Callithrix jacchus: one gene and its partner. The protein of the gene in region 1 interacts with the protein of each later gene in a pairwise test. Links are inferred from orthologs where the notes say so. Each region holds a gene or a part of one and is shown on either strand. Other genes may lie near its edges.

Evidence for each region. The genes of interacting proteins can lie anywhere in the genome.
Region 2: the proteins of UBXN11 (region 1) and EIF4E interact in binary tests that used the Homo sapiens proteins (3 or more experiments, as listed by UniProt). The link is inferred for Callithrix jacchus from reciprocal best matches to the Homo sapiens genes UBXN11 and EIF4E.

Annotation. Positions count from the first base shown.
Region 1 is NC_133508.1:62,937,859-62,941,511, forward strand, and holds part of UBXN11 (UBX domain-containing protein 11), read right to left. Parts: intron 1,404-3,653; coding exon 1,277-1,403; intron 1-1,276. UniProt on the Homo sapiens protein: May be involved in the reorganization of actin cytoskeleton mediated by RND1, RND2 and RND3. Promotes RHOA activation mediated by GNA12 and GNA13.
Region 2 is NC_133504.1:98,576,422-98,580,074, forward strand, and holds part of EIF4E (eukaryotic translation initiation factor 4E), read left to right. Parts: intron 1-457; coding exon 458-553; intron 554-2,423; coding exon 2,424-2,487; intron 2,488-3,177; coding exon 3,178-3,291; intron 3,292-3,653. UniProt on the Homo sapiens protein: Acts in the cytoplasm to initiate and regulate protein synthesis and is required in the nucleus for export of a subset of mRNAs from the nucleus to the cytoplasm which promotes processes such as RNA capping, processing and splicing.

The DNA.
Region 1 (3,653 bases):
GAAGTGAGGCCCAGAGAAAGGAGGTCACCTCCCTAGTCACTCCTGGGATGAGAGGGCATTGAGATGAGGGCCCAGGTGTGCCTTACTCTAGTGCCTGGAGAAGCATCTTTTGGGTGACAATCTCCATTCTTTGAAGAGAATGGGCCTGGTTTTCAGAAATGGCCAGTTCTATGGACCCAAATCCATAGGAGGGGACTGTGGGGGGAAAATCCCTCTAGATATTAGTGGCCAAGTTAAAAACAAAACATGGTGGGAGCCCACAGAAGTAGGTGGATTCCAACAGCCATAGCGACCTGGAGAGGGAGGCCATGCCTGGGAATTTGGGAGTAGTTTCTAGAACAGACTGCTTTTTTTTTTTTTTTTTTGAGACGGAGTTTCGCTCTTATTACCCAGGCTGGAGTGCAATGGCACGATCTTGACTCACCGCAACCTCCACCTCCAGGGTTCAGGCAATTCTTCTGCCTCAGCCTCCTGAGTAGCTGGGATTACAGGCATGCGCCACCATGCCCAGCTAATTTTTTGTATTTTTTAGTAGAGACGGGGTTTCACATGTTGACCAGGATGGTCTCAATCTCTTGACCTCGTGATCCACCCGCCTTGGCCTCCCAAAGTGCTGGGATTACAGGCGTGAGCTTTCTTTTTTTTTTTTTTTTTTTTAAGTTGAGACAGAGTTTCACTCTTGCCACCCAAGCTGGAGTGCAGTGGTGCAGTCTCGGCCCACTGCAACCTCCACTTCCCAGCTTGAAGCAATTCTCCTGCCTTAGCCTCTTGAGTAGATGGGATTACAGGCATGTGCCACCACACATGGCTTATTTTTGTATTTTTAGTAGAGACAGGGTTTCGCCACATTAGCTAGGCTGGTCTTGAACTCCTAACCTTAGGTGATCCGCCCACCTCGGCCTCACAAAGTGCTGGGATTCAGGTGTGAGCCACTGCACCCGGCCAGAAGGATTGCTTATAAAAGCCAACAGCTTCTAGATGGGTGACTATACAACCTAAGGCAAATGAGGCCTTGCCACCTCTTGTATCTCTGGGTCTTTGACAGATAAGCAAGAGAGAGCAGAGGCGGGACTAGGGAGAAATGGGCCAGCAGGTTAAGTGCTGATGGAGGCTGAGGCCGCCCCTACACTGTGCCAGGGGCAAGGTGTGGTCTCTCCAGGGCGTCTCAGGTGGGGGGCCAGGGCATGAATCAGATGGGCCTCTGGGGAGCTGCTGGCCAACAGCAAGCTGTTGGAGAAATCCTTTTGAAGAGGGCCTGGGGGATGCCCTACTCTACCTGGCTTCCAGAACTTCCTGGCCGTCATCCAGTCCCTCTCGCCATCCTCTGAGACTGTCTTGTTCTCTGAGTCCTCCTGGTCCATGGGCTCACCCACCCACTGCAGGCCATAGTCGCTGAGGAACCGCTGTGGGAAAGAAGGGGAAGATTCCAGGGCACTGTCAGCTCAGCCCCTTCCCAGGGAAAGGCGGTGTCAGCGCAGAGCCCAGCCTCAATCCCCAGGCGACAGGGCCCCCAAGCAGACCCGACAAAGGGATGAGTGGGGGGATCTTGCCACTTCCTGGATGTGACCTTGGATAGCCACTTCAGCCCCTAGAGCCTCAGACTCCTCTTCTATAAAATGGAGATGACAGCACCTGCCACACAAGCTTAAGAGGAGGACTCAGTAAGATCACCCACGTCGGCGCCCAGCCCACACGATGGCTCGGTAAAGTCAGCCTGCTTGTCACGGGAGCCATGTGGCCTGGTGCAAGTGTGAGGAGGAGGCAGGGCTGAGGGACGTGACCCACGTGCCAGCCTCCCTAGGGCTTGGCTGCACGTCCCCTCTACCAAAGGAAACTTCTGAACTGTCTTAACGTCCACACCCCACTTCTCTTCTCAAGCCACGGGAACCTGGCTCCATCGCCACACCACTCTCAAACTGCTCAACGTGTAGCCACTGCCAGCCTTCCCACCGCCGAGTGCACAGGCATGTGTCTGTCTTTATCTCTATCTGCTAGTTTTCCTCCCATCTCCTGGGCTGTTCCTTTCCAATTTCCTTCACCGTTTCCCCCTCCCATCCAACACCAACTGGTGAGATCCCAGCTCCATCCACACATTCTCCCAAATATATATGGACAGAACCCAAATTTGTATATATGCAGATCTCACCTGAGCTCCAGACTCACATATCCAACTGTCTATACTTGGATGTCTAATCACCATGGCTCCCACCCCCGTTTCAAACCTCCCTCGCTGCAGGTTTTCTTGTCTCTGGAAATGACACCCCATCCACCTGGGAACCCTCTGTGGCCCATTCTTTTACAATGACCTGCAAGGCCTGGGATGTCCCCTCCAATGCAGCCTGGAACCCATCCGCTGGGCTCCATCTGCCGCCACTGCCCTAGTTCAAGCCACCATCGCCTTTCTCCTGGACAATCCAAACTAAAGCCCTTCAATGGCTTCCCATTCTTTCAGGACAGGATCCAGCTGGCACCACAGGTGGCTCCAAGGTGATTTGGCCCCTACGACCTCTTTTCTTTTCCCGTTCTTCTTTCTCTACACAGCCACCGACCATGAGCCAAGTTATGTGGTGGGAGGGGGCGCCTTTCCTCTCTCTAAGGCCTGGATCCTCTTCCCCATCCCCTCCTCACTCACCAGACATGTCACCCCCACAGTTGGTCCCCCAGTGTGCCTCTATGGGTGTCATCCATTTATTTATTTTTTGAGATGGAGTTTCACCCTTGTTGCCCAGGCTGGGGTGCAATGGTGTAATCTCGACTCACCACAACCTCTGCCTCCAGGGTTCAAGTGGTTCTCCTGCCTCAGCCTCCCAATAGCTGGGATTACAGGCATGTGCTACTATGCTTGGCTAATTTTATATTTTTTAGTAGAGATGGGTTTTCTCCATGTTGATCAGGCTGGTCTTGAACTCCTGACCTCAGGTAATCTGCCCACCTCAGTCTCCCAAAGGGCTGGGATTCTAGGCGTGAGCCACCATGCCCAGTGGTGTCACTCATTTAATCATGTCACAGCACTTTCTGTAGTTGTGTACCTGTGTACTCATTTGTCCCCCTCCCCCCAGGCTGGCAGTCTCATGTAGGCAGAGACCATGTCTGTCTTGTTCATGCTCTGCCCCAGGCCCACCCCAGGTAGATCCTCCAGATGAGGCTGTTAAATGAATGAAGTGATAACTGGGTGGCTGAGATGCACACAAGGGCAGTCATGCCCCCTGCCCTGAGGCTCTGGCACAGCCCTCACCCTGTGGCCACTGCTCAGGGACAGCCCCAGGTACAAACAGCCTGGAGCAGGAAGGGCTCTCAGCTGCACCTGGAGGGTTGCTGCCGAGGTCTTAAATTAGACCAGGGCTTTGGAAACCAACTCTGCATGGAGAGGGAGAGTTCTTCCTGAATCCCAGGAAGAACTTCCGGCAGGGCCCATGGAGGGGTGGGGGACACAGAGGACGTATGCATGTCTGGGACCCTTCCCTGTGCCTAGTGTCCCTCTAGTTCTCTTGCTGTTTGAATGGCTGTGTGAGTGGGGGGAAGACAGGTGACTGGGTTAACTGAGTTCTCAGTGAGCAGAACTCACAGCCAGAGGCAGCAAATGGCTTAACCAATTCAGTGCTGGGTCCCGGGTGCACAGCAATAAACAGGAGGAAATTGCTCCCTCCTTCGTG
Region 2 (3,653 bases), on another chromosome or scaffold:
TGTACAGTTCAGTTAATGTTAAGTACTTTGTGTGACCAATTACTGTGCAACTAATCTCCAGAACTCCTGTTCATCTTTCAAAGCTTTGTAAACTCTGTAACCCATTAAACTCCCCATTACCCCTTCTTCTTAGCTAGTGACAACCACCATTCTTTTTGTTTCTATGAATTTGATTTCTTCTTACACCTCATATAAGTGAAATCATATAGTATTTGGGTTTTCTTGGAGCAGGGGGACTGACTTATTAATGTAATGTTCTTAGCTTCTCATGTTTTATCAAGTGTTAGAATTTCTTTCATCAGAGTTTTAAATATTTCGTCATGTATATATATACTTTTTTTTCATTTATCTGTAGATGGACAGTTGGGTTGTTTCCACCTTTTGACTGTTGTGAATAATGTTGCTTTTAACATGGGGGTGCAAGTATCATTTTTTGACATTGACTTTTTATTTTTAGATGGGCACTCTGGTTTTTTAAAAATGATAAAAGCAAAACTTGGCAAGCAAACCTACGGCTGATCTCTAAGTTTGATACTGTTGAAGACTTTTGGGCGTAAGTAACCATTTGTTTTATAATGTTTGTTGTTTTATTAGCTGTGTAGTCTTTTTATTTTTAAGTTGAATTCACAAAATGAAGTGTGAGGTGAACAATTAATGAATGTTCATCTTTTTTTATCTCACAAATGTTTGAATTGGTGATTATGCTTTATTAGTTTTATAAAACTTAAATCTTGTCATCCCTCAGCCCTGATTATTCTGTTTCTTGTCCTGAGGTATCCTTTGCTCAGGAATCCTTTATTGCCCTTAGAACTTTGGACAATTAGTTGGAACTTGTTCTTCTCTTGGTTGACAAGATACATTTGCCTCATAACCAGGTATTCCAGTGCATTGTTGGGTCCTCATTTTTGCGAACTGTTTTTAGTGGAACATCTGGAATTTCCTGTACCACAGATTTTAAGATATCAAAGGCTGAAATGTTTGGAATTCAGGGTTTGTCAAGGGAATGCCAGTATCTATCATGATACTTCATTCATTTCATTATACTTTGATCAGTATCAAGAAGAATATTGGAAATATTTTTGAAATTTTGTTTCTGATATAGCAGAAAGCTAAGAATTGGGATCATCAACTTTTGTATGACTTCAAAGCAAAATTTAAGACTGGGCTCAGTGGCTCATGCCTGTAATACTAATACTTTGGGAGGCTGAGGCAGGAAGATCACTTGCGTCCAGGAGTTCAAGACCAGCCTGGTCAACATGAGTTCCTGTTTCTCTATAAAATATGTAAATTGTAACGTCTAAATTAAGAAGTTTTGATAATTGATTCTCTTAAAAACAAAGTTAATCCAGTGTGTCTAACTTATTTGGAGAATGAGTAGGGAGGGACTATTTGAGACCATGAAAGACAAAAGTCTTTAATAAGCATAAAAGCATTGAAACTTAATAATAACTACATTTAGGTCCTAATAATTTATAGGTCTAGTTGTCTAGTTAAACTAGGGTTATTCTTCTTTGCCTGTCATCAAACATCGGGTAGTTTTTCTTATATAATTATGTTTATTTAGAACTTTTAAATAACTCCAGCCTTCTGCACACACACACACACACACACACACACACACAGCTCTTCATTCTGCTACAGAGGAAAAGATTCTTAAGAGTTGCCAATTTTTTAAAAACCAATTTTGCTGTAAGTGATTACAGGAGATCAAATGATCTAAGCCTCTTGCCTTCAGGCAAGCGACTGAGTCATTGCAAATGTTATTCTGTTATTTTGATATTTGGGAAATAGTTTAGAAATACAGATTCCAGGGTTTCATTTCATATTTAGGTGGTTATAATCCCAAGAGGTAGTGCTTGGAACTATATTTTTCTAAAATCATTTTTAAAATGATTATTGTATTGACTGACCAGCGTCAGTTAGTGGTGTTTGCGAACCATTGGTCTATTCTCCTCTTGGATATTCTCGAGGATAATAATGTTGACTCTTTTAGCCACACAATCCCGATGGTCAGGAAGTTCATCTTTTCTGTTTTTTTTTTTTTTTCCTAATGTGTTTGTGAAAAAACAAAACTGTTGATTAATTTCAGAAATTATTTCATTTACTTAAAGCCACCATATATCTCTCTTCTCAGTTTCTTACATACACACATATGTATGCACTGAGTTAACTAACATATAAAAATATATTTTTGTCAGATCAATCACTAGAAATTTTTCGAAAATTATACCTGTCATCTGAAGTTGATTATTGAACTGCTTTTAAGATCTGTTTTGTCCATTTAAGAAATTGACTTCTTAGAAACAAGTAGACATGAACTTTTATCTGTTTATTTTTCATATTTTCTAAATGTATATATGTGTAAGCACCTAAACTCTGTATTACATATTCTGTGTTTTTAATTCTCATTTTCTTTTACCTAGTCTGTACAACCATATCCAGTTGTCTAGTAATTTAATGCCTGGCTGTGACTACTCACTTTTTAAGGTATGTGTAATTGGTGATTTTTATATATTTATTATAGGACTGGGCCATTTGGTAATCATTAAGAAATCTTGCCATAAACTTAGGAGTGTTTGATAGTATGGTGAGCTGGCTGATAATTTAATTGGCTTTAGTGTGCTTTAGTATAAATATATCTTACTCTTTTTGTTTATAAAAATTGAGAGAGGGTTATTCTATGGGTACCATACTGAGATTGATTTTGATGAGCGCTTTGATTATCCAGTCTACTCCTTCCTTTATATATTTGAGCAGACTGAGTTTACCAGGCATTCTTAACCTTAGGAGCATAGGCCTTTGGAATACTTATTATTGGGCCTTGTCAGGTGTAGGGACAGGACATTCATTAACTGAAATTGAATAGTTTTTGCATGTATTTTCTAGGTATAGAAGTGTACAGAGCTTCTAAAATATGTTTGCTACTTAGAAAAAGAACCTTCAAATTAAGTGAGACTCAAGATTTACTAGCTAATAAGTGACAAAGTCAAGACTGTAATTCTGCAGTGTCATGCCTCTGGCATTAAGTTTTATGTGCTTTTTAAAAACTACATCAGCGACAGCTTTATGGAGAATAAACTGAGAAGTTAACAGTGTTGTTGCTCATTGTTTCTAATGATTATCTCTCAAAGTCAAGGTAACAATATTGTGTAATACTGGTGTCTTCTAATCCTATAGGATGGTATTGAGCCTATGTGGGAAGATGAGAAAAACAAACGGGGAGGACGATGGCTAATTACATTGAACAAACAGCAGAGACGAAGTGACCTCGATCGCTTTTGGCTAGAGACAGTAAGTTTTTAAAAGTATAAAGCAGTTTTAGAGGTAGTTTTGGCATACTGAAACTTAATATATGTTACATTTTACATATGTTACTTGATTTAAGAGGAGGATGCCCAGCACTAGAAAATCAGGGTCAGTAATTACTTTTGTTCTGTCACGTGACTTCTGTTTATAGTACAGTGAAACATCCTACCATATTGTAAGTCAGATATTTGAGTGATTGGCAGTTGACTCTCACCACCAATTTTGTGATCATTTCATTCCCCGAAAATTATAAAACCTTACATTTTGTATGATTGAAGTTGTTGCAACCCACTTACAGCATTGCTGTCTGTATTCTGAAATTTTAAATATTTATATTTTTAGAGCTG